Tribolium castaneum: one gene and its partners. The protein of the gene in region 3 interacts with the protein of the main gene of each other region in a pairwise test. Links are inferred from orthologs where the notes say so. Each region holds a gene or a part of one and is shown on either strand. Other genes may lie near its edges. The genes, in order: protein tumorous imaginal discs, mitochondrial; huntingtin-interacting protein K; htt; abscission/NoCut checkpoint regulator; transcription elongation regulator 1; Rpn10; Ubc4.

Region 1 (4,066 bases), on a different chromosome or scaffold from region 3:
AGGAAATTAAGGAACAAGTCGACACGATCATGTTTGAAGGCCACGACACCACGGCCGCTGGCAGCAGCTTCTTCCTCTCGATGATGGGCGTCCACCAGGACATCCAGGACAAAGTGGTACAAGAACTGTACGATATCTTTGGCGACTCTGACCGGCCTGCAACTTTCGCCGACACTCTCGAAATGAAGTACTTGGAACGGTGTCTTATGGAAACTTTGAGGATGTTCCCTCCGGTACCCATTATCGCGCGGCAATTAAACCAAGACTTGAAATTAGGTATTTTCCCCAAACTTAATTTTAACATTTTAATCATTGTTTTGAAGCATCTGGTGATTACACTGTTCCTGCCGGTTGTACTGTCGTTATTGGTACTTTCAAAGTTCATCGCCTTGAGGAGTATTACCCTAACCCGGATAAATTCGATCCTGATAACTTCCTTCCGGAGAGGACTGCCAACAGGCACTACTACTCCTTTATTCCGTTTAGTGCCGGACCTCGCAGCTGTGTCGGTACGTTTTGTATAATGTTTTTTTTGTGTTTTTAAGCGCTTTTCTAGGGCGGAAATATGCCATGTTGAAACTGAAAATACTGCTCTCTACGATTTTGAGAAACTACCGAATTTATTCGGATTTGAAAGAAAAAGATTTCCAACTCCAAGGTGATATTATTCTTAAGAGGGCCGAAGGATTTAAAGTCAGATTGGAACCCAGGAAGATGGCCAAAGCCTAAATCGAAATTATTTATGCGTAGTTGTAGATTTGTATATTTGTAGAAAATTGGGCTTAAATTATATTTATGACAAATAGAGCTAGTTGACGAACATTCAACAAACACTTTTTATTTTATCCCTTCCCAAAAAACTCACAATTATTAGTAAAATAACCGAACGTAACCAAAATTCAACTTAAAAAGCTGAAAAGTCTGGAGTCAATAACTAATGTAGAAAAAAATTATAATTAAATTGTATTCATTACTAATTGATGAAGTTTCAAAAGCCTTTTATTTTATTTTGCCTCTCCCTTCGACGGTATTTTCGGATAAATTTAGTTAAATAACGACCAAAACACTAATAATTAATTACTACAAAAAATAAATGATTCATAATCAGACGTTTTAACACAACAAATTGTTATCAAATAATTCAAAAATAAGATGTATTGTTGATTGCATACACAGTAACACATAACGTTGAGGCATGTTTGTGATGGTTAAAAATAAAGGATACTTAAGGTTTTTTGATACTTTAGAGATAATTTGCTTGATTTTTGATTGCATTAGCTATTTGCTGAATAATGAAAAAAATCGTCTATAAAAAAATTGGCGCCAGGACACCTTGGCATTTGCTGAAATTCATTGATTGACAGTGTTACCACCACGCTCTGCCTTTTCCTAAAAAAATGGCGAATGTCAGAAGTCTTATTGGCATTTTGTGTACAAAACAGTTAAATATCTTCGTGACACCTCAAGTAAACAAAATTTCAGCAAGATTTCTACACAATTGTCTCCACTGTAACAAATTTTCGGTCAATTTCAATGTCACAAACTCTCCGGTAAAAAACGGTGAGTTACAGCATGTCTTCATAATTTGCATCATTTATCAGTCCGAACCTTTGAACTTCACTTTTTCCGGGTCTAATAACACAAGTGAACGACTGTTGCACAAAATTATGCCTTTTTTTGAGCTGCCTTGGCATTTTTTCTAACCTAACCTCATTTTCCAGTTTTACACATTTCATCCCGAAAAATCCACCTAAACCCGGTTTTGCGTGCGGCGAAAGACTATTACCAAATTCTGGGGGTTAGTCGTAACGCATCTGGGGCCGAAATAAAGAAGGCTTATTATAAACTAGCGAAAAAGTATCATCCCGATGTCAATAAAGATGACCCAAATGCGGCTAAAAAATTCCAAGAGGTGTCCGAAGCGTACGAGATACTTGGCGACGAAACCAAACGGAAGCAATTTGACACGTTTGGCGCCACGTCCGAGCAGATGGGCGGCATGGGGAGCGGCGGTGGCCCCCGTCCCGGCGCCCAAGGCTTCGCCGAAAGCTGGCAATACCAGTCAACCATTAACCCGGAAGAACTCTTCCGGAAAATTTTCGGAGAGGCCGGTTTTGGCAAAAGCGGGGGATTTGATGATTTTGCTGAATCGAATTTTGGGTTTGGACAAGCACAAGAGGTTGTGGTTAAATTGAGCTTCTTGCAAGCCGCAAGGGGGACTAATAAGGATATTACTGTCAATGTTGTGGACACCTGTCCCAAGTGTCACGGCTCGAGGTGCGAACCAGGCACCAAGGCCACACGGTGCACACATTGTGATGGGACTGGGATGGAAAGTGTGACCCGGGGGCCCTTTATTATGCGGTCCACTTGTAGGTATTGCCAAGGAAGTCGTATGTTTATCAAACATAAGTGTGTCGAGTGTGAGGGAAAGGGACAAACGGTGCAAAGGAAAAGGATCACGGTGCCAGTACCAGCAGGTTTGAGAAATTTGTGTGTTAAAATTTTTTTTTTACGAGTTGGGGGTTTCAGGTATTGAAGACGGTCAAACTGTGAGAATGTCGGTAGGGCAAAAAGAATTGTTTATAACGTTTCATATTGAAAAATCGCGCTATTTCAAACGAGACGGGGCTGATGTACACACGGAGGCCGAAATTTCCGTGGCGCAGGCACTTTTAGGGGGCACCATCCGTATAGAAGGGTTGTACGAAGACCACATGATACAGGTGATTTTGTCCCCTAATTATTTTTTTTTTGTAATTCCCGATAATATTTTTTTGGGTTAGGTAATGCCGGGAACGTCGTCACACACCCGAATAAGACTTGCCGGCAAAGGCATGAAAAAAGTAGATGGTTACGGTCATGGTGACCATTATGTCACTTTCAAAATAGCTGTACCAAAACAACTTTCTCCTAAACAAAAAGCCCTAGCCCAGGCATATGCCGAGCTGGAAACTGATACTCCGGGACAAATTTTAGGAGTGACGTTAAAAACTGATGGTAAGTTTCTGGGGGTTTAGGGGGGCTTGAAATTTAGCTTTTGATCCTTGTTTTTGCAAAACTTACGTAAATTTTTGTTGACAGGCAAAGACAAGGACGAAATGCCTCTCGCAGGTTCTGAAGCTAAATCTCAAGCGGAGAGAGAAAAACCGAGTCTTCTTTCAAAAATCAAATCGGCATTGTTTGGCTAATTAAAACAATGTATAGTTTGATTTTTTTATTTGTATATAACAGTTAAGTTACTAAATAAATAGACTATACAATAGAATTTTTGTCATTTTTTGTTAACATTAATATATTTTTATAGGTAGCAAAATTTTTGTCTCGAAAGACAAACAAGAACTTTTAGAAGCCCTTAGGTTAGTGCTACAAGGTAAGAAAGTCGAAACCGCCAAAGAAAATCACTCACAAAAAAACACTAAGAAAGTTGTAGATAGAGATGTTGATAATGAAAATGTTAGCGACACTGAAGAAGCAAAAAGAAATAAAATGCCATAACTGTTTTGTTAACTAGTTTTATATTAAAATGTTATTCTAAAGAAAGAATAAACCGACTAGAATCTAAAGTTTTGTTTAATTCGCATTAAGGCAGTCCTGATAAGGCTACATCAGCGCGATGTTGCATCACAGACATTCGAATTACCCACACGAGTCATTGACTTTGTGACTTGTTTATTAGAAATTTTAATTTAAACCAACTGTAATTATGGGGTGTCTTTTATGCATATTTTTTATGGAAAAAAAGTGTGGGGTACATACCTCTAAGCAACCCCCTACACACTTTACTTGTCTCAATAAAACCTTCGGTTACTTTAATATTTTTCAATCGCCCTGACGCACCCTTACTCTCCGGCCCCCCGGAAGTGATATGTATATCAAACCAAAGTGCAGCGCGACTACTAAGGCACTTCCTACACAGCTCAAGTGTTCGTCAAGAGCCCCAATTTGAGGCCGATGTCGACAACGCCCCTCGTTGCGGAAGCCTGGGTCAGAGACAAGACTAGGGCCGCTAACGTGACAGCAAATTCCAGGTACAACGCGTAAAGGACTCTAACGTGTCCGTAAG
Region 2 (2,163 bases), on a different chromosome or scaffold from region 3:
GTAATTTGGGTTTTACAAACACTTGAATATTTAAAGCCCAAAAAAGTAATTTAGTCAATGTAATTGTACGTATTAACAACAAATACACTACTACTGCATTCAGTGAGTTATCTAGAACGGTTTCGTGTTCTCGTAACTTTGGGAATTTTTGTAGAAATGAGTTTGAGGTTATGTCACAGTAGACTTATCAGCACGGTCACTAAAAGGCTCTTTTCGGCCAAATTCCCGGACCATAAGATCGTCTTAACTGACGACGAAAGCACGTACGTGGCGTGGCACCCAAAACAGGACTTTCCGTACGAATGTACCCAACCTTTGCCTGAAAAACAAGTCGAAGACACTTCCGTTCTTAAAACGCAGCTTACGCCCCAACTCAAGGAAGTGTTTAATAAAAAAACACCTGAACAAGCCCGGCAAGAGCTGATGAACATCACGCACACGACGAAACATCGTTGGTTCCCTCGTGCGCGTGATAAACGCGCTAAAAAGACACCAATGGATCGCGAATATTTGTAGAATTTATTTAAATACAAAATCGTAATAAATTAGTTGGTTAGAGCTACAAGTGCATTGACAACGTTCCCGTGGTATTCTCGAAGGGTTCGTTCGGCTTGCGTCCTTGAAATTTCCATTTCGCGAACGATGAGATCGACGTCTTCTTTCTTGACTGATACTTTGAGCAATTCTTTTTCACGGGCTTGTTTCTCGAGGGCTTCTTTGTTACGGCGATCGCCGATTGCTGAAATGGCACCAGCTACGTTCTGTGTCGAAATTTCCTTTTCTTCGGCATAGTCGGTGACTTTCTCGAGGTCAGCGGCCCCACTGTCGTACTTTGCGGTTTTCTTTTGCGACTTTTCGGGCAGTTCTTCGCTACTGCCGTTCACGGTTTCCTCATCTGCCATGGTTCAAATTTTGCAAAAAATGGCCAAATGTGAGGTTAGGGCCGACTCTACGTCAAGTGACAAGCGTGTAACCCGAAAAAGGAATGTAACTAACACAAAACAAAAGAGCGGGAGTTTCAAAAACAAAAAAACGCTCCAGCACAGACTACGAAAAAGGAGAACTTATTGTTCCTTATATTTTATTTACACCTTTAACTGGATTGTCTGAGAAGGGAAAATAAGGATACTAAAGAAGAGTCGAAATGAAAAGGTTGTGAGAATAAGAAAAACAATTGAGAAGAGAAGACTCTGAAAGAGAGATATAACAGAAAAGAAAACTCTTCCTTCAGAAGAGGAACTGAAAACAAGAGCAAGCAGATAAGGATCTCGGAAGATAAAAGATGTCTTGAGAAAAATGAAAAAGGGTGTGAGAAAAGAGTCTGAGAAATGAAGGTTCTAAAAAGAGAAAAGAGTTTAGGAAGAGAATGCTCTAAAGAAGGAGACTTTGAAAAGAGAATGTCAGAAAAGAAAATTATGAGAGGTCTGAAAAGGGAAAACTTGTTCCCCAGAGTTAGAAGATCTGAAAAGAAAATAGCGCGAAAATCAAGCGAGTTATTTTAGGACATTATTTATTTAACGTAAATTATTTACACAGTTTAACACTGAATAATAAAAGAATGTAAACTACATTATATCTACTGACAAGAAATGTTTAGATATTGCCAGGGAATGTGCCATTTTCCCTTTGATCATCCCATTTCTCAATCCAGGCATTGGGGCACATTGAATGGAAAACCTTCTTGAAGTAGTCGCATGGTTTGTAATCCTTTCCTCTCAGTTTCTGGCATCGGTGATAATCCAAATAGCTTTGGTAGCAGTAGCGAGTTTGGTTGGTATTGGGAAAACGGGGGTCAAAGGGGGCTGTTTTCAAATCTTCAAATTTGAGAACCTCCGGCATGGTGTCTGCAAAACAAGAGAAAGGACTTGTCGAATTGTGACTAATTAATTTTGATTTTCGAGTAAATGTCAAACAATCAATGGTGACGCGATTAGTTACCTAAGCGTTGGATAGCGTCCATGATTTGTACAAAAAACACCTTAAGCTTATATGACTTAAAACTAGGATAAAACAGTCTATTTAACGAGCAGCCTCGTCTTGGAATCATCATCACAACACGCCTCTTTGTATCGCTTAACCTCCTTCATGTACAACGTCCACGCGTCTTGCGCGTCGCTCTCTTCCTGAGTCATAGTTTTGGTTTTCTGCACCATTCCCGTTTTG
Region 3 (2,699 bases):
TAGGGGGAATATTATTGATGCAAATTGCGATAAAAGTGAAAGTGCAAAGCTATTCTCCTAACCTTACCCAAGGAAATTAAATCGCGACGACAAGACGTGTTCAAATGAGCCGAGTTGTTTAACACAGCACACGTACCAGCACTTATGAACAGGATTTGTTGAATAACTCCGTGATAAAAGACAATTGTGAAGAAACAGGAAATATCCCATTGTTAGACGAACTTCTCAGCGAGATTATCCGCTCGTTTGAATAACGCCGGGATTTGCGCATTTTTGCTTACCTTAAAGTTCAACGGCCATTCATGCTTTATTTGCAATAAAATTTTATCGCAAATTTGTTTAAACAATCACTTTTACTAATATAAACAATTAAAAAACCACAAGATAAGTCGGGCTTGACAATGACAGGTTGTCACAAGGAAACACCGAAATTCCATGCGCCGAGTGTGCGTCAGCTCGAAAACATTGAATGAACCGAAATCAAATGAAATAAACAGCAAAAATGTTAATTTCTTTTTATTTCTTACTCAATAGAGATAATTAAATTTGTTGTAAGTCCTACTATTTACAGAGACGATAACAAATCGGTGAACAGCGTGTCGGGTTGCTCCTTAATTTTGCGAAAATTCTCAATGAACGTGTCTTTCTGGTTCTGGTTGGTCAGGTTCTTGTAGAAGTCCGCCCCAGCAATGCACAGCATTTTCCGGTCCTCGTACTCGTACCTACCGACACGCGTCTGCACGTAAGGGAAAAATAGCCGCAACCACTCGTTCGAACTTGCGCTTATGAAGAAGCAAGTCAAGCACCACGTTGCCATTCCAACCGACAACGATTGCGTGAAATTGGAAAGACTAAAAACCACCCAGTCTTGTAGTAACGGAAGCTGTTTCTCCTCAATCGCTCGCTCGAACACCTAACCGAAAATGGTACAAACCGAACCGAACTAGCAACAACTCACCCGAAAGACAACTTTGCTCAAAAGCTGGGGATGGGGCTGCTGCGGCGATAGGAACTCGCTTATCACCTTCGTGAGGATGTCGGCCGGGGAGAAAAAGTCGTTGAGTATGTCGGGCAGAACGTGGCACAAAATTTCAACTTGGGACATGTAGCCACGTTTGATGTGCTCGAAAATTGCAGAGATTTTTTCGATTGTTTGTACTAAGTGGTCGGGGTTTGTGGGGCTGCCCACAGCTTCGAGCTGCTCGGAACAGTCGGTGTACATGTAGCTGAGGAGGAGTTGGAGGCCCAGGATTGATACGTTCGGATTTTCGGTTTTTGTTTTTTCGAGTGCTAGGCTCATTATTTGTTTACTTATGCCTTTTGTGAGGGTTGGCTTGAATATCACCAGTCGTTCCAAAGCCTAAAGCACAAAATTAAATGGGTAAATAAATGATTTTCTCGCAACTTTCGTAAATTTTAGGAAGATTTTTGGAGAATTTTTAGGCCCGTTTGAGATTATTCGAAAATATGATGAGTTCTAAGATCATGTAATAAGTTTTTGAGAAATATTTTATCAATAATTAAGATACTGCGGGATTTTTTTTAAAAACTTTGTTTTTAGAATGTTAAGTTTCGCAAAAAACAATGCCAAATAATCTAGAAAAATTCTAATCGAAACTATAATAGAATTTTGACAAAGACCAGAGTAAAGAAAATTTGGAGAATGAAGACGTGTTTTTAAAGAAATTTTGAGTACAGTCTATACAAAATAAAATCTAGACAAAAATTTATAAGGTAATCTAAAGACGGATTTTCAAAATAATCAAAATGTTCAAACTTTAGACATAAAAAACGGATTTAGAATATAAAATAGACAAGTATCTTAAAAAAAATATACAGAAGAATATAGGAAAAATTTAGAGAAAGGGTAGAGAAGTAATGATGAAAAATTTTAAACAAAACGATAATTTTTTTAATTAAGAATTAAATTTAAAAGAGAATTTGGAGAATATTTAAGAAGACTTTATAAAATTATTTGGAGTGCAGTCTAAAAGAAAAAGTTATAAAAAATAATCTGGAAAAATTCTAAATAATTTTAAACGCAATGAAAAAAAATTCGGTATGACAGAATAGAAAATTAAAAAGAGAATTGGAGAATGTTTAAGAAGAGTTTATAAAATTATTTTGAGTGCAGTCTAAAAGAAAAATTTATAAAAAATAATCTGGAAAAAATCTAAACGAAACAATAATAAAAATTTGTAAAGGCACATAGTGCAATCTAAAAAAAATGTAAAAAATGAAGAAGTGTTTATAATAGTTATTTTAAGCAGAGTTTAGAAAATAATTATAAAGAAGAATCTGGAGAAGAATTTATAAAATAATCTACAGAAGAGTCCAGGATTAAAATTTGCCGTCAGCATTATAAAAAAATCTTTAAAAAATAGAGAAAAGATAGAAAATTAATGATAAAAATATTTAAACAAAACGATGAAAGAATTTCGGAAAGACGCAGGTTAAAATTTAAAAAAATTGGAGAATGTTTTAATGTTAAAAAAAAATGAAAATAATGTAATAAAGAGTCGAGACTTTTAAAAAGAATCAGAGAATAATTTTACAAAAAAAACTAGAAAAAAGTACAAAAACAATTCTAAAGAATAATTTGGCTGAATTCTAAACGACATTAGACACGAATTTGAACAAACGTAGAGTAGAATCGAAGAGAGATCTTGGAAAATGTTTATGTACTTATTTTATTTACG
Region 4 (3,548 bases), on a different chromosome or scaffold from region 3:
CCCAATCCCGAGCATCTCCTGGATTTGTTTAGCTGTCAGGTCTTTGGTCCCCCGAAAAACGTACGATTTGCTACAGCCCTCAGTGCCCAGTTCGTGAACTTGGACCATTTTCCCGAATGTGATGAGCCCTATGAGGGCCGTCGGCGGGAGAAGGCTCAAAGACATCTGAAGCGAGTCTTTAAGGGCCCCCAGCTCCTCCTCGTCCATGCACGTATCGACGACTAGGAGGTAGATGGGGGGCAGGCATTGGGCGCGTGTTATTGTGTACTCAATGGTGGAGAACATTGGCATGAGTTCGGCCGGTTGGTGTTGCTCGGAAATGGCCGCATATTGAGGCGGAAACTTTAATTTTTTATGTAAAAAAATATTTAATTTAAATTATCTTTTTACCGGATTCCGTTGGAAACAGAAATTGCAAACCCACAGCTTTGCCCGGTAGTCGACTTGACACAGCGGGTTCAGAATCGCACGACAGTTGTTACGGGTACATAGGACAGGGTCGTATTGGATGGGGGGCAGGTCTTGGCGCTCCTTGATGGGTTGGTAGAGACAACCGAGGGGGACCACCAAACGGGTGGCTTCGATGCGACTCGACGGCCACACGTTCCAAGTGAAACGGATGCCGTCGCGGTCCTCATTCTGCTGGATGTATTCTTCGTAGGTGGCCATCTGAGCAGCCCCCTTGTTACTTGGGCGAATTTTACGATTTTGTTGAGACTTACCGCAGAACGGCTTATGCCAAGTGGTCACAAACACAAAAAACGCGTCAAATGCTTGATTTTAATTTATTTTAAAAGTTTAAAAAAACATTTTACATTTGTTACACATTTCAAGATCCACGTCATATGTCACCTGTCACTGGTGGCGACATCTATGGCTCACAACAAGGCTATTGAAAATTTTGTTAAAAAATCGCTAATTTGGGGCTGAATTACGTCACGACCGCGTGTAATTGGTCGTTTTTTTAATAAATAAACTGTAACGACAAGTTTTTACAAATTTGGACGATATGTGAAGAAATAAACGATTTTTTTTCGTGGTGTTACTTCAGCCACTTCAAAAACAATTAAAGCCTTTAATTAATTAAAGAATTACTAATTCAATTGGAATTACTTCACCGTTTCGTCGCTTAATAATTATTTTGTCCATGAAAGTGGTTTAAAAAATGGGGGAAAGTGTATTCCTGACGTCACTCTAGCCATTTTGGCTACCAAAGAAATGGTCAATTTAATTCAAAAAACTACTAGCTTGATGTAGTATCATGTCATGGTTTTGTACAATTAATTACTTAGTACTTAAAAGGGCGTTTTTCTCAAATATTGGGGGGAAAGTCAAATTTTTTTCTGTAGCGTCACCTTAGCCACAGTGCGTCAACAAAATTAAAGAATTTATTTACAAAACCGTTGGTTCAAGGTAAATTTAAATACGGGAACTGAGCAATGAGTCACCTTGTTGATGATACACTTTAATAAGTCGCTTTTTGCAGCAAATGGGTGCAAATCAAATTTTTCCATGACGTGCCTTCAGCCACTTGCAGCGAATCAATTCAGCTGTCACAAAAGTCTAAATTTGTAAAAAATCTCTTTAATTCTATTATGTCTTGTAATCACTGCAATACGAAATTTAATTTTTTCCACAAGGAAGTGCGTCCGTTGTGAAATTGCGTATTAAAAGTGTTAACAATTTTTTTTTCAGATGGGCTGTTCAAATTGTGGACTGTCCTTTTGCAATAAATGTCTGAAGCAAAAATGCAAAATCCCCAACAAGGGCACAGGCGAATTCAATGTGTGCAAACTGTGTTACTCCAAACTGGCATCAGGGACAAGCGCGACACTGCCCCAAATCGCGCCCCCCGACGCTTTCATAAAGTATCTATCGTTGCAAAAACCCCTCAAATGACCCTCCCCTTGCAGTCCCAGGCGTCCCGTTCCCCGTTTCATGACCCAGACCTGCCTCAGGTACTAGACTAAACAGTGTCAAAAGTGTGATCCATTTCGTAGGCGATTGGAAAATCTGGAAAACCCGGCCGCGCCCCCTATTACAATGTACAAAAACGACCCGAAAATCCAGGCTTTACGCAGCGGTTTGTCGCCGGCTGACCAGAAAATTCTGGATCGGTTGGAGAAGCTTAAAGATGAGAAGGGGCCCCCGCCCAGTGAGGGGGAGCTAAGGAGGCGGTTGGCCAGTCTTAAGGGGGAGAACGACTACGTGGAGGGGCCCAGCAGACTTGTAGCTACTCCCTGTGTTTTTGGTTTTCATTCATTAAACTGGGTTTTTAGTTGTTTCAAGTTGATTCAAGGACGGATCAACAGAAAGCTGACTCGCTCCTTGAACAGTTTGTGAATGAGAGGGACATCGAGTTGGCTCACAACCCCCAGGAGGAGATTGAGGCGCGTTTGGCGACTTTGAGGGAGCAAGGAGTGAGACCAAACGAGGGACCATATATTAGTAATTTGCACGACTCTAGTAGCTCTGAGGAGGAAGTGGATAAAATCACGAAAAAGGTATAACTCCTTAGGTGGCTTCTTGAAAACAATGTAAAAACTGTAGTGAAAGCAGTTTCTGCGGTTGTTTTATTGAAACTACTGGTGTCAACATTATTATTATTTCCGCTTAAATTCTCTTGGCAGATCATGGACGAGGTGGCGATTGAGGAGCGTTGCCCCAAATCAAAAAAACTCACTCCAAGTTCGTCAAACGAAGATGAAAACAACGTACGATCGTCTCCGGAGCTTCCGTGGTGCGTTTTGTGCAACAACGATGCGAAATTCCGGTGTTTTGATTGTGGAGGTGATTTATACTGTAGCGAGTGTAATGTTGAAGTACACAAAAACTGGGGAGATACCGATCACAAAGTTGTTCCATACAAGTCGAAATGAAATTTCGTAGATTTAGAGCAAGTTACATATTTTTACAACGGATTTTCAATATTTTTGCTTAACATTCCCGGAATTAAAAAATCGTTGATGTGTCGAGATTTAGCGGTGAATGTGGATATATTGTACGAAGAAATTTAATCAATGTCATGTAAATAAAGATTTTAAGAGATTTGCGGTTTGATTCAAGCCTTTAAATTTTTTTTAAATAAATCAGGAATTTTCACAAAAACCATTCTCAAGTACAATAAAAAGGTATAGAATTTAATATAAAATACTCACAAACTAGCAAAACAATTATCTCATTATCTACTAATTCCCTTCCTCTGCTCCTTCGCTTTCACGTACTTTCCGATACATTCGGAGAAACTCTTGAAAAACGCCAGACCTTTGGGGCAGTCTTTGGCAAAGTTGAGCAACTCTTGCCTGTTGACGCCCCCGATTTTGTTAATAATTGTCACGTGTTTGTCGTAATCTATATTATCGACATCGTTCATGTCCACCCTCACATCAACCAACAACTCCAACTCGATTTCCATAATTTTATAAATCGCCCTATAAAAAAAAAACGAAACAATGAACTACAAACAATTACAAAACCACTTACACAAAATCAGGCCCAAAAACCATGCAATTAATCGAGCAATAGTCAAGTCGGAAATTCCTAATTTC
Region 5 (4,263 bases), on a different chromosome or scaffold from region 3:
GGGGGCATACCTGGCGGAGGACCCGCTAACATGTTTTGAGGCATTGCGTTCCCAGCTTGTTTGGCATCGCCTTTCGATTCCTCTGACTCAACTAAATTTCTCGTTAATTTTTTTGGGATAGAAATTGGATTAGAGGTACCTTCAGGTTTATTTGAAACGTTAGCCTGCGCTAACGCCGCCTGAGCTGCAGTTGACGTTCCTTGGGCTAAACCTGTGGTGGCCGCTTGTGCCATTGCTTCCACTTGATCCTGAGAGATTACTTTTACATTAGGACCTTCTGGCTTAGTCCAAGTGGTTTCTCTAGTACGAGCATTATAAAAATATGACTTGCCTTCTGAGGTTTTAGTCTCTACCCAAATTTCACTATTTGCATCTAACCCCTGCAAAAAACAATTACAATTGAATTCTTGTAGTCGAACTTCGATAAATAATAAATTATTATTTACAAAGTGGTAAAACATACGAAAGAGGAAAAATAATATCGAGGCTATAAAATTAAATAAAATAATTAATTTAGTCATTTTTCAGCACGGTGCAGCAAACTCACAAGAAAAAAACTAAATATGTAACTCAAAAATGTATTTGAAAGTGTGAAAAAATAACTCAATTTTTGGTTCCATTTAGTGCTTATTCGGCTTGCGAAGTAATTCCGCTTATAGCTAAAAAAAGATAAAACGCTCCAAAAGGCAAAAATAATGTAATTTGGCGATTTTTCTGTATGTATTAATGACATCTCGCAAAAAAACGGTGAGATTTTGATTCAAATACCAGCTTAAAGGTCTTAAAAGTTTGGAAAGGTAAAATTTTTTCTACTTTGGTTTCACAAATTATTCATTGTGAAACTGAAAGTATCATGTGTTCATTATTAAGAAAACTCTCCGAATGGCCTGATATTTCCTACTACACGAGTTCACCAAAATTCATAACATCATAACCTATGAGTGATAAATAGTGTTCAAAGGCCATGTGTTACGTGTGTTAAACAACAAAAAAAAACATTTCCAAAAGTTTTTATAAATAATAAATAAATATCTTTATGAAAATCTGTTATCTTTTTAACTGCCAAAAAGTAAAGTTATAAAAGAACGAATTAATCACAAACATTTGTAATCAATTGTTTTTTATTTTCAAAGCACTTCTTAAATGAACGCTTGTTAGTTTTACAAAGAGAACTTTTGTACAACTCCTTTTAGTAAATTTGTAGTTATATTGACAGTTCTGCGCTGGGTGTCATCAGTCATCACTGTAATTTAGTGTGATCTATCAACAACGTCAAGCCGTTTATTGAAAAAGAACAATTAACAAAATTAAGAGAAAATAGTTTGAACAGATTTTGATAAGTTAAACTAAACAGAAACAAACAAAAATAGAAAATAGTATATTACACTCGTTTTATAAGACTTAATTGTGACACTCATTCTATTGGAGCACTGCTTCGTCGTGCTCCAAAACCATTCGTGCCGCAATAGAACGTCTTATAAAACTCGTATAATAATATATTGTTTCAATCCTATTTTACCTTTTTTTTTTTTGGTTTGTTCATAAACGTGTTAATCGAGTAATACAAGTCAAAATAATGTCAGTTTGGATTTGAAATGTTGATCAGCCAATTTTTCGAAAAAAATATGTATCGAAGTGACAAACAAACGTGCTTCAGCACACGGAAAAAGCAAAAATTATGTTATTTTTACATAAAGATGAACTACGGATAATCAGGATATTCCGAAGAATCAAATCTCCGATCGTCCGATGAACTCTCGATGGGTTAAACTACGAAATAAATTATATTCTACTTTATTTTTGGTGACATGTTTTCCGCAAAATTTAATGTTATATCAGGTCTATTTTAAGAAAGTGTTTATCTTTATTGAAAATGTTTGGAAAAGTCTAGTTTAATTCTTTATTTGATTAAGATTTAGTAATAATTCGATATTTCCCGGGAATACCTAGACTTTAAATCAAGAAAAACAAAGTGTAGGCAATAGAAACCCTACGTGAAATTCTTATCTGTATTTATTATTTGATAACTCGAACAGATAAACTTGAAAAATTCGAATTCCAAAAAGATGGTAATTCGCAAAATCTCGTCGAAAAAACTTACTGTTGTGGGATTTTGCCCTACTGGTGGAAACTGCCCATTGGTCGTCCCGCCCTGAGCGCCCATGGGTCCACCCGGGGGCGCCCCCATCATGCCCGGTGGTCCGAACGGCGGTCCATTGGGTCCCATCATATTGGGCGGTCCACCCATCGTCCCCGGGGGCCCCATCGGTCCTCCCCAGTTAGGCCCATTAAAATTCGGAGGTCCATTGAATCCCTGCCCTGGTGGTGGGTTTCTGGGAGGTCCCCCACGTCCAAACATCGGAGGAGGTGGTCCTCCACGTCCACGAAACGGAGGAGGGCCACCGGGCCCAAATCCCCTTCCTCGAAACCGGGGACCTTCTCCACGCGGTCCTGGCGGACCTGGAGGACCCGGCCACGCGCGTCCGCGGCCCCTGTAATCACACCGTTAGGAAGTGTGGCGGTTTAAAACTTGAATACCTGAACCCTGAAGGTCCTCGGCCTCGCATTTGGAAGTCATCTCCGAGTTCAATGTCGTTTTCGAAGCCTCCGTCCTCTTCGTATTCCTCTTGGGCGACGCCGTCGACGTCGGCGCCGTCGTATTCCATGGAGACGTCTGTTTCTTCCATTGTGTTTTATTTAATTTCAATCGATTTAGCCATTTAGAGTCAATTAAGATTTATTTTTCGGAAAATGGCGTCAACAAATGCACTTCTTCGGTTTATGACGTTAATGCGCATGCGCGTTTTTTGTTTGTTGATTCCCAGATACCAACCACAAGCGACAAATTTTCCCCAAAAGTCGCGCGAAATTAGGTTTGAATTTTTTGGATGATTTCTACATAAATTTTCTTTTAAAAACAATAATTAAAACAACAAATTTTAAAACATAACACTGCCCACCGACTGTTCCGCATAATTTATTTAAACGCCTTAAAAAAATAAAACATTTTCGCCAACAAAGAAATACCACAAATGATCATTTCATACAGGCTGATTCTTTAAATTTTCAAATAGTAACCACCTATTTTTATTGCATTTTTGAATTAGTAAAATATACCCTAGTTGTTAGTATTAGCTGTTTCAAAACTATAAACGCCAACGTCGCATTTTTTACCGAATTATTTTTTTAAATGAGATTGATAAAATTGTAAAATAGTAAAACAGTAAAATAAAATTATTAGATCTCTTATTGAAACTATAAATTACATTATCTATCAATTTTTTGAAGTGCATAAATAATTTAAAAAATGATTATAAAACAGTCTTCTACAGCGTGCTCAAAAACTGACGCACCAACTCAATGGTGTGTGGCAGAGAAGTGGTTACATATAAAGGTAAAAATAGTAAAAAAATTCTTTGTATTAAAGTTATTGATAAATAACTAATTTTAGGTAAATGATATGTGGCAACGTTGTCTAATAGTCATGATCGCAATAGAATTTGAGCAACAATAAAAATAAATTATTTTTGAAACGGTTTCCTAGGAAATAATTCCCAGTATTGGCACATCTACACATTGTGATTTTTTGGATGAATTTTAGTTTTTTTAAATTTAAAAAACTGCTAAAATCTGATAGTAAATTTTAAAATAATTGTTCATCGTTTTGTTACGGAACGATTACCTGGTATGAAACATAATAATATAAAAAAATAATGAAAACTAAAGAAGTTAACACAATAGGTTTGTAGCTTCAGATTTTTTAAAATACGACTTTAGGAATTTTTTCAACATTTTTCCCGTAATCTGCACTTGCTTCTCAATAACGTACCACTGAGTTGGTGCGCCAGTTTTTGAGCACCCTGTATATCTATCTCTTACAGATTTTGGAATAATCGCAAGAAATTGAATTTTACCTAATTATTTTCATTTTTAATCAACTAAACTTTCGAAAAATATGATAAAATTGTGCTATTAATTAAAAAAAAATTCTATTTGATCACCGTTTTCATTCAAGAAGTTCAAAATTCGATGGCAGACTGAATGAGTTACTTTACATAAATTATGATAATAAACCATAATTAAATATTAATATTTTACTGCTTATTAGATAATTAATAAATCAGTCAAAAAATTAAATAAAATGTTCAAGTTGACAATTGTTGACGAATTTGCAAGGTCTACTTGATTACTATAAAAATTACGAAGTAAAATCCGTTTCTTGTGAGTTTTTTCAAAAACTGTAAGAGATAATAAGTATAGAAT
Region 6 (3,790 bases), on a different chromosome or scaffold from region 3:
CGCTAAAGTTTGAAGTTATGTTTCACCTTTACGTTCATCTCTTTTTCTCTCAAAACAAAAGGTATTTTTCCTTTATTACAATGTGCTCTTACGTTTACAATTTGGCGCCTTTACGTACTTTTACCTTTTGCCGCATTATTTTCTTATTTCTGTCAGTTTTATGCTCCGCTTTACGTTTATACGTCTATGTGTTCTCTCAATCTCTTATTTTTGCTTACGTGTTATTTCCTTACCTTTTCTACACTTTTTTTCATAGAAAAATTGTTACTCTGATCCGGGTTCGAACCCGCGACCTCCCCCGTCGTAAGTGGCGCTTATACCACTCAGCCACCAAGGCCCCAGGTGCTGACCGTCTTTTGCCGATATTTTAACACAAACTTTTTAAATAAAAAGTCTGTTGTTTTTTGATATCTTAGTTGAAGTACGAGTTTTTATTAATTTTAATCCGTGACTCGAACTTTTTAGAAGGTCTTAGATATTAAAAAAAAAACACAATGAGGTGATTAGTTAATCCATTTATTTGAAATGATACTTCACACTACAAATGAAATCAATACAGTTCCGCATATAAATGTATAATTATTATGTAAAAAAATAACTAAAGTAACAATTATCCCTAACTTATTTCTTCTGTTTATCCTCCTTATCCTCTTTCTTCTTATCCTTCAAGTTCCCCACCGCCTGTCTCACAGCTTCCGACTGCGGATCAACTCCTGGCAAATTCTCCAAAACACTTTGCAGAAACGCCGGATCATTCATTACTTCCGAATAATCTTCATCTCCTTCAACCTCCATCGGCTCCTCTTTCTTCCCAGAACTCGACTCTTCTACAACACCCCCAAATAAAAGCAATCTTGCAAACTTTCACCAGAAACTAGTCACGAAATTTCTTTAAAAAGAAAACCGAAAAACCAGCGACGATTCAATTCCTTTTTAAACAAACTTTCACAAAACAAGCCAAAAAAACACCAACAACAAAGTACAAAATTCACCAAACAATTAGTGTTTTTTGCGTTTTTCAGCGCTTGTAACCCAAAATTTTATTAAAAAAAAATCTTTCACTGTTTTCACCCGATTATTACGTAAGCATGCAAAATTTCAGTACATTCGGACAATTTACAACAACCTAAGCCCCCACTTACGTGCATCCTGCATCGACATCTGCATCGCGAACGCAATTTGCTCATCCTCGGTCATATTCGCAAAATCGACAGTGGGAACCCCCGCAGGGGCACTCTCCCCATCCTCCTCCATGGACATCGCCAGCGCCCTCTCCAGCATTGCCTCCTCACTGGGCTCCTCCTTAATGGGCGAAGTTTTAGCCCCCGTTTCAGTAGACGAAGCCTCCTTAGCCCGTCTCGCCTCATCCTCCTGTCTTTGCCTCTGCTCCTCCATGGACACACGCAGCGCCAGCGCCAGTTCTGGGTCCTCATTGGGGTCCACACCAAACTCGAAACCGGAAGCCCCCAGACCGGCCCCGCCCGTACCATCCTCCCCTTGTATTATGGGCGAGGAGATGAGAGCGTCCGACAGATGGGGGCCAGGGGGCACCGTCACCAAGTGGCTGCTGCTGCCGTCCTTCAAAGACTAGAGCTAATAAATTTGAATAGGAAAATCGGATAAATACTTTTCCGTTCAAAGTGTTGATAAAAGTCGTCAGGACTTCATTATTGGTGAAGTCTTCACCAAAACTGACTATATCGACGTTTACTTTCTCCTTTTTTAATTTTTTCGCTAATTTCACTAACTCCTTTTCTTCGGACGCCACAGGGCTGCCAACGAAGGCCACGATTCGCATTTTGTGGTTCTTGCCCTGGCGGTGCTTCAGTGCCAACTGGGAACAAAGTTATTTTATTTTTTTTGTAGTTTTTTTAAATAGTTTTGGGTTTTTCTCAAAACCTACGTGAGCAATGCGGATCCCCGTATGCAGGTTGATGTCCCCATTGGGCTGGACCTGGTGCAGCTTGGACAAAATGCGCCCCACGTCGCTTGTAAGAGTCGCTAATACTTCAACACTGCAACCAATCAATCAGAACACGATTTGCAAGCACAGGGGGGCTCACTTTGCTAGGGTTAACAATCCGACGTTATTTTCAGGATTTGACCTCGTCTTCGAGTGGCAAACTAAATTCACAGCGTCCTGTTGGGCCTGCAGACGAGTCGGGAGGAAGTCCCCGTTCCGCATGTAGTCACTATTGTCCACACTGGGGCACAAACAAACAAATAATGCCAAGTCATTGGAATTTGAGGTTAGGTGCACAATTTTGACGCCACTTTCGATTTTTTACAAAAGTGGGGCCACTTACCAAATCATCGTACTCTCTAGGACCATTTTGCTAGGTTTTTGGGCTAAATTGAACACTTTTGGCCAAAAAACTACGAAAATTCTGGTACTGACGTCTGCTTGGGCAAATCAATGCCGCCAACCCAAAAACTTCAAGTGCGCGAAAACTTCAAGCTTCGTAATAATTTATCGAAAGATTAATAAAATAATGTATTTAAGTGACTCAAGCCCCCGTTTTTGTGACATTCTGCCACTGAAACTCTTTGGTTGTGATAATTAATAATTTAGACAAATAATAATTAATAAAAAAGCAACTTCCAGGCAGGTGAGTCTAAAATCGTGTTAGTGTGGGAGTTTTAGCTTCGTTTGTTTAATTTTTGCCGGTTCGTGGCCCAGCCCCCGGTAATTCCCCCAATTTAGGCGCAAAACCTTGCCGCAAAAGTAACGCGATAAGCACTTCCTAGCGTGCCAATTCGCCACACGAACGAAAATAATCCATAAAATGACCCGAAACACGAAATTGCATTAAAAAGTTTTGAACTCTGTCCACGTGCGCGTTAGGGATTTTCTCACCGTGCGATTGCGATCTCAGGTGTAGTGTCAAAATCCGACAGGTAGCGAATGGTGAACAGCAGAACAAGTGTAAAGTGTTGGAATAAAAACAAATTCGTACAATATGGATGTGATTGGCAAGAAAATGCTGTAATCGCTCGAAAGTGGGACGATTTTACGCAAAACCAGGTGAGCTGGCGGCTTTTTCCGTGGCGATGTTCTTTTGTTTCTGGGGGGGTAATGCGTCTAAAAGTCGGATAGGTTAGGGCGCGTAATTTGGGCAGAGATTTTCAATGTAAACACGAAATTTAATCGATTAGAGTGGGTTTTATTATAATTGGGACCGTCGTTACTGTGTCAACAGCGCTGTTTACCTGTTGTTATTTACACAGGAACGGAGTGCTGATAGTAGGCTGTGGGATGATTTAAAAATTTGGGTTTTTTGACTGGGGTTTGCAGCACTGTTTTTTTAGTTTCCACAATCAATAATTTCGCATATTTTATTAACATAAATAATTCACTTTTTATTCTATATTTTTTGCGGTATAATTGGTATTCTTCTATACTTTTGTTGTCTTGTACAAGCGTATTATCTATTAATGCCATAAATAATTTAAAAAAATGGATCAGATCGTAATTAATTATTTGTGTGTGATAAAGTGCCTTAAATCGACCTAATCTTAATAAATTTAAAAACCTAACGAGGTCTGGAATTAATTAGCGTAAAATGCTGTCCTTGTATTCAAAGTTTATGGCTTGAGATCATTACTGGTAATAGACAAATTAGACAATGGCAAAAAAACGTGTACTACCTTGAACTGTATTTAATATTAAAGCAGATTCGGGGAAATTACGGATGCAAATAATCAAGCCATGTTTTTTTTTTTTAATTTAAAGTCTGGTAGACGTTTCGGTTTTATTTCAAGTTGAGATGAAAGTATTTCCCAAGTGATT
Region 7 (3,538 bases), on a different chromosome or scaffold from region 3:
ATTATTTTAACCGCCCTAACTTTCTGTTAATATTAATATCAAAAACAGTCAAGTGAACATTTTTATGCAAAATTTTCGGCTTTACAATTTTTGTTTAAAACTTTTTTTTCTAGCTTTCAGCGATTTTGAATAATCTGTAAAAAACGCTTTAATTTCGTTTCTTCAACTAAAAAATTCTTTGTCTAAACGTTTTTAACTGCTCCATGTAACTTATATAAAAAAAGCGAGCTTTTGAACATTTCGATTTACAGGCTTATTTGACTGGACCATTGAAATTATTCAATGACTGGACTAATAATAGGTGATTGTAATTGAATTTAAATCTATTTTGAAATAGTACCGAAGGAGTCTCGACCTTTCGTGGTGCTACTTATGTAAATCTGTTGCATAATCAGTGCATAAATTAAGAGTTAATGCGCAACTTTTATTTTCATGGAGTATTTGAGTTTCAAATGGACGTGGATTGTCTTAGGGTTGTAACTCACCTCAGTGCCTGTATATTCAAGATTAAAATTTTATTTTAACAGTATTCAATCGCCGATTTACAAATAAAAACAGTAACTAATTGGAAAGTGGTTATACAAAGCATTTCATTCAATTACCATACTTGAAGTGCTAAAAAACTAATCTGGTGGTTTTCACTAGCAAGAATAAACCGTAATTAATTGAAAGACTTTGTACTCGAAAGAACTAACGATAAGCATCAGTAACATCAATAAATTTCAAACACCAATATTGACAAAAGTTGAAATTAGTTCGCAAGAGCCAAAACAAGACTTTCGTATAGTGATTACTGAGACATAAGGTAAATGCAAACAATCCTTTTATTCATCTTGTACACCTTCAAAATAATTTAAGTCAGTAATCTATTGGGTAGAAAATGAAACTGCGTTTCATAACCAACTGTTGGAAAAGTGTAGAGAGAATATAGTAAAATGGCGGATTAAAATAGTTCACTAACTAAATAACTGTTCAGTTGCTCTTTCTATATCCCAGTTATACGACGACAAAGCGACCCGCGCCTGGTGCTCCTCCACTCCCATATCAACTAGCCTTTTTATTTTATCGTCACATTCTTTATTTACATGGGGACCTGCAAACAGAGCGTCACGCCGTCCTAATTGCAAACTGCATAAATTACCGCCTGCGTAAACATTTGTCCAATGTCTGGCCGTCATTTGAAACATTTCTATATTTTCCTTAAACTGCTTCGCCACCACGGCGTCCTGTGGGTCATCGGGCTCCGCAGCTGAGAGCAGCGCTTGGAGCGACAACAACACCGTCCTCAGCGTCATAGCTGCAGCCCTAGAATTTCATTTAATAACAAATACTACCACGTAATAGAAAGCACCATTGGTCCTTTAAAATGTCTAAGCAGATAGCGCCCGTTACTGATGATATATTCGGGTGCCATATCTTCGTAATGAACCTGACCTGTTACAAAACTCTTAGTCTTTTTTTTCCTGGTTATGTTGAAACGTACCTTGGGTGGATTGAAGGGGTATGTTTCAGGTACTTTAATCTCTAATACGAAGGTGCCCCCTTCGTAGGCCGTGTCCGGGGGGCCCGTGATCTCGCCTTTGAGCTCTGTATAACTATCATTTAAGAGTTCCACTTTGATGGCACATTTTGCTACCTAAATTTCAAACAAGCACGATCGTATTAGCCAAGTTTGTTGATTGTTACGAAATGACGTTGGAGTGATAACCCCTTCGCTTTGAATTTATGGCAGGGGGCATTTTTCAGTAATCAATATTTTACGTTGTGTACTGACAATTTCAAGTGTGAAAATTCGAAATGTCCGAGGAAACCGAGAACGGTAAGTGGCGTTTAGGAGTTAGAATGACATAACAGAAAAACAGTGTTTGCGAAGTTCCTACCTCTTCACTTTTAATAACCTCTTTAAACTCTCGTCGTATCCTTTGTGCTGCTATGTTAGCCATTCTGGTGGGGAAGTTCCTAAATGCAGTAAAACATAACAGATAAACCGTGGCTCTAAAAAATAGCGATTTGTTGACAAAAGTAAAAAATACACTGGCTAAAGATCGATTTTCACACTTTTAATTTCTCACTGAAGTTAGGCAAATTATGAAATGCTAAATGAAGAAATGTCACTTGTTTTCAATAGCATTATAGCCAACTTTACGGAATTTACGCGCGCGCCAAATCGGCCGAAATCTCGCAAATATTCGGGGATTTTCCCTCGGACTGCTGCAACGATGACGTAAGGGCCCCCCCGCGCGATTTCTGTTGACAATTTCGGCGATATTTTCGACGGAAATCTTCGATAAGCAGGGAGTATTTCGTCACAAGGTTTATCATTCTGGAGCGTTGTTTGCCGATAACATTAGACCCCGCTTCTGATTGGCTGCGCGTTTTGCAGTTATGCCCGTTTCCCAGCCCGTACGTGCTAAAAGCTTGTTGCGGGCAAAGTTGGAAAAGTCTTCGTTGATCCTCCAGAGCAGAATGCCGAACATTAAAGTCTTCAGCGGGACCTCGCACCCCGACCTGGCCCAGAGGATCGTGGACCGGCTGGGGATCGACTTGGGCAAAGTGGTTACGAAGAAATTCAGCAACTTGGAAACATGGTGAGTGGGCTTTGGAAATTATTTGCTTATTGACTTGGCTTAAATTGCGACTTATTATTATTATTTTATTTTAGCGTGGAAATTGGGGAGTCCGTCCGTGGGGAAGACGTGTACATCGTGCAGTCGGGCAGCGGGGAAGTTAACGACAACCTGATGGAACTCCTCATCATGATAAATGCGTGCAAAATTGCGTCCGCGAGCAGAGTCACTGCAGTCATTCCATGCTTCCCGTACGCTCGGCAAGACAAGAAGGACAAGGTGAGTGCACAATTGCTCCAATTGTGTACCTGCACATGTGTAGATAACCTAGACGCCACGTGACTTTGTATACATCTGCAAGCGGGTTTGTGGAGACCGTAGTTTTGGTTTTTAGGACAATTAGGGTTGTGGTTTTTCCTATTGACCTGACAAATTAGTCAAGCATCTGGTTTAATAATTGGACAAGTTCAATCCGACCACGTAGTTTATTAATTTGAAACAATTTGTTTACCGTTAGGTCGGCAAAAGGAGCACGTGGTTGAGAGGGCGCCACTGCCGCGACTTAAGTATTTCAAACATGTTTGCTTTGCTTAAGAAATATATGATTTATGATGTGTTAAATAGTCATAAAGGCTTTTTACTAGAATATTAGCAAAGGCATAATAAATGTAACTGCACTATTAAAAGTGATTTTGCTATATCCATTTAACAAAGACAGTCTTTAATTTGTTACTTTTTATTACTACAATTATTGTGTACTTTTAGATTTTATTGATGTTTTTCTTGACACAAAAGTGGAAAAATAAGTCTATTTCTTATCATAATAAATACTAAGTGATTGTGTGATTAAGGTTTGCCAGTATTTAAATATCAAATTCAAAATTTTATACAAATAATATACACTTCCATGCCTAGCCATCACCTGAAACAAATTAGAAGAATGACCAATAGCTCAATAATGCCAATAGATT

The links.
Region 1: the proteins of htt (region 3) and protein tumorous imaginal discs, mitochondrial interact in binary tests that used the Homo sapiens proteins (3 or more experiments, as listed by UniProt). The link is inferred for Tribolium castaneum from reciprocal best matches to the Homo sapiens genes HTT and DNAJA3.
Region 2: the proteins of htt (region 3) and huntingtin-interacting protein K interact in binary tests that used the Homo sapiens proteins (3 or more experiments, as listed by UniProt). The link is inferred for Tribolium castaneum from reciprocal best matches to the Homo sapiens genes HTT and HYPK.
Region 4: the proteins of htt (region 3) and abscission/NoCut checkpoint regulator interact in binary tests that used the Homo sapiens proteins (3 or more experiments, as listed by UniProt). The link is inferred for Tribolium castaneum from reciprocal best matches to the Homo sapiens genes HTT and ZFYVE19.
Region 5: the proteins of htt (region 3) and transcription elongation regulator 1 interact in binary tests that used the Homo sapiens proteins (3 or more experiments, as listed by UniProt). The link is inferred for Tribolium castaneum from reciprocal best matches to the Homo sapiens genes HTT and TCERG1.
Region 6: the proteins of htt (region 3) and Rpn10 interact in binary tests that used the Homo sapiens proteins (3 or more experiments, as listed by UniProt). The link is inferred for Tribolium castaneum from reciprocal best matches to the Homo sapiens genes HTT and PSMD4.
Region 7: the proteins of htt (region 3) and Ubc4 interact in binary tests that used the Homo sapiens proteins (3 or more experiments, as listed by UniProt). The link is inferred for Tribolium castaneum from reciprocal best matches to the Homo sapiens genes HTT and UBE2K.

What each region holds. Positions count from the first base shown.
Region 1 is NC_087402.1:4,531,503-4,535,568, forward strand, and holds protein tumorous imaginal discs, mitochondrial, read left to right. Parts: upstream 1-1,397; coding exon 1,398-1,560; intron 1,561-1,721; coding exon 1,722-2,480; intron 2,481-2,532; coding exon 2,533-2,726; intron 2,727-2,786; coding exon 2,787-3,000; intron 3,001-3,084; coding exon of another isoform or gene 3,085-3,191; exon of another isoform or gene 3,192-3,307; coding exon 3,308-3,498; 3' UTR 3,499-3,566; downstream 3,567-4,066. Other genes in the region: Cyp4g14 (cytochrome P450 monooxygenase), read left to right, coding at 1-276, 324-509, 557-729; uncharacterized protein LOC103312662, read right to left, coding at 3,921-4,066. UniProt on the Homo sapiens protein: Modulates apoptotic signal transduction or effector structures within the mitochondrial matrix. Affect cytochrome C release from the mitochondria and caspase 3 activation, but not caspase 8 activation.
Region 2 is NC_087394.1:36,375,353-36,377,515, forward strand, and holds huntingtin-interacting protein K, read right to left. Parts: upstream 903-2,163; coding exon 546-902; 3' UTR 517-545; downstream 1-516. Other genes in the region: mRpL42 (large ribosomal subunit protein mL42), read left to right, coding at 157-516; cytochrome c oxidase subunit 6B2, read right to left, coding at 1,594-1,839; telomerase RNA component interacting RNase, read right to left, coding at 2,016-2,163. UniProt on the Homo sapiens protein: Component of several N-terminal acetyltransferase complexes. Inhibits the N-terminal acetylation activity of the N-terminal acetyltransferase NAA10-NAA15 complex (also called the NatA complex).
Region 3 is NC_087395.1:14,799,517-14,802,215, reverse strand, and holds the end of htt (huntingtin), read right to left. Parts: intron 1,361-2,699; coding exon 959-1,360; intron 914-958; coding exon 566-913; 3' UTR 501-565; downstream 1-500.
Region 4 is NC_087396.1:21,498,337-21,501,884, reverse strand, and holds abscission/NoCut checkpoint regulator, read left to right. Parts: upstream 1-1,461; 5' UTR 1,462-1,595; coding exon 1,596-1,643; intron 1,644-1,695; coding exon 1,696-1,868; intron 1,869-1,913; coding exon 1,914-1,958; intron 1,959-2,000; coding exon 2,001-2,229; intron 2,230-2,279; coding exon 2,280-2,504; intron 2,505-2,630; coding exon 2,631-2,879; 3' UTR 2,880-3,048; downstream 3,049-3,548. Other genes in the region: Sec23 (protein transport protein Sec23A), read right to left, coding at 1-342, 391-669; uncharacterized protein LOC103313582, read right to left, coding at 3,182-3,431, 3,484-3,548. UniProt on the Homo sapiens protein: Key regulator of abscission step in cytokinesis: part of the cytokinesis checkpoint, a process required to delay abscission to prevent both premature resolution of intercellular chromosome bridges and accumulation of DNA damage.
Region 5 is NC_087397.1:11,591,012-11,595,274, reverse strand, and holds the start of transcription elongation regulator 1, read right to left. Parts: upstream 2,801-4,263; 5' UTR 2,688-2,800; coding exon 2,539-2,687; intron 2,493-2,538; coding exon 2,102-2,492; intron 381-2,101; coding exon 140-380; intron 92-139; coding exon 1-91. UniProt on the Homo sapiens protein: Transcription factor that binds RNA polymerase II and inhibits the elongation of transcripts from target promoters. Regulates transcription elongation in a TATA box-dependent manner.
Region 6 is NC_087400.1:1,080,021-1,083,810, reverse strand, and holds Rpn10 (26S proteasome non-ATPase regulatory subunit 4), read right to left. Parts: upstream 2,408-3,790; 5' UTR 2,333-2,407; coding exon 2,307-2,332; intron 2,205-2,306; coding exon 2,064-2,204; intron 2,016-2,063; coding exon 1,904-2,015; intron 1,835-1,903; coding exon 1,628-1,834; intron 1,588-1,627; coding exon 1,143-1,587; intron 828-1,142; coding exon 622-827; 3' UTR 501-621; downstream 1-500. UniProt on the Homo sapiens protein: Component of the 26S proteasome, a multiprotein complex involved in the ATP-dependent degradation of ubiquitinated proteins.
Region 7 is NC_087394.1:31,294,615-31,298,152, forward strand, and holds Ubc4 (ubiquitin-conjugating enzyme E2-22 kDa), read right to left. Parts: upstream 2,300-3,538; 5' UTR 1,944-2,299; coding exon 1,881-1,943; intron 1,820-1,880; coding exon of another isoform or gene 1,798-1,819; exon of another isoform or gene 1,666-1,797; intron 1,637-1,665; coding exon 1,484-1,636; intron 1,435-1,483; coding exon 1,352-1,434; intron 1,306-1,351; coding exon 1,142-1,305; intron 1,094-1,141; coding exon 957-1,093; 3' UTR 501-956; downstream 1-500. Other genes in the region: Prps (ribose-phosphate pyrophosphokinase 1), read left to right, coding at 1,798-1,819, 2,384-2,588, 2,663-2,846. UniProt on the Homo sapiens protein: Accepts ubiquitin from the E1 complex and catalyzes its covalent attachment to other proteins. In vitro, in the presence or in the absence of BRCA1-BARD1 E3 ubiquitin-protein ligase complex, catalyzes the synthesis of 'Lys-48'-linked polyubiquitin chains.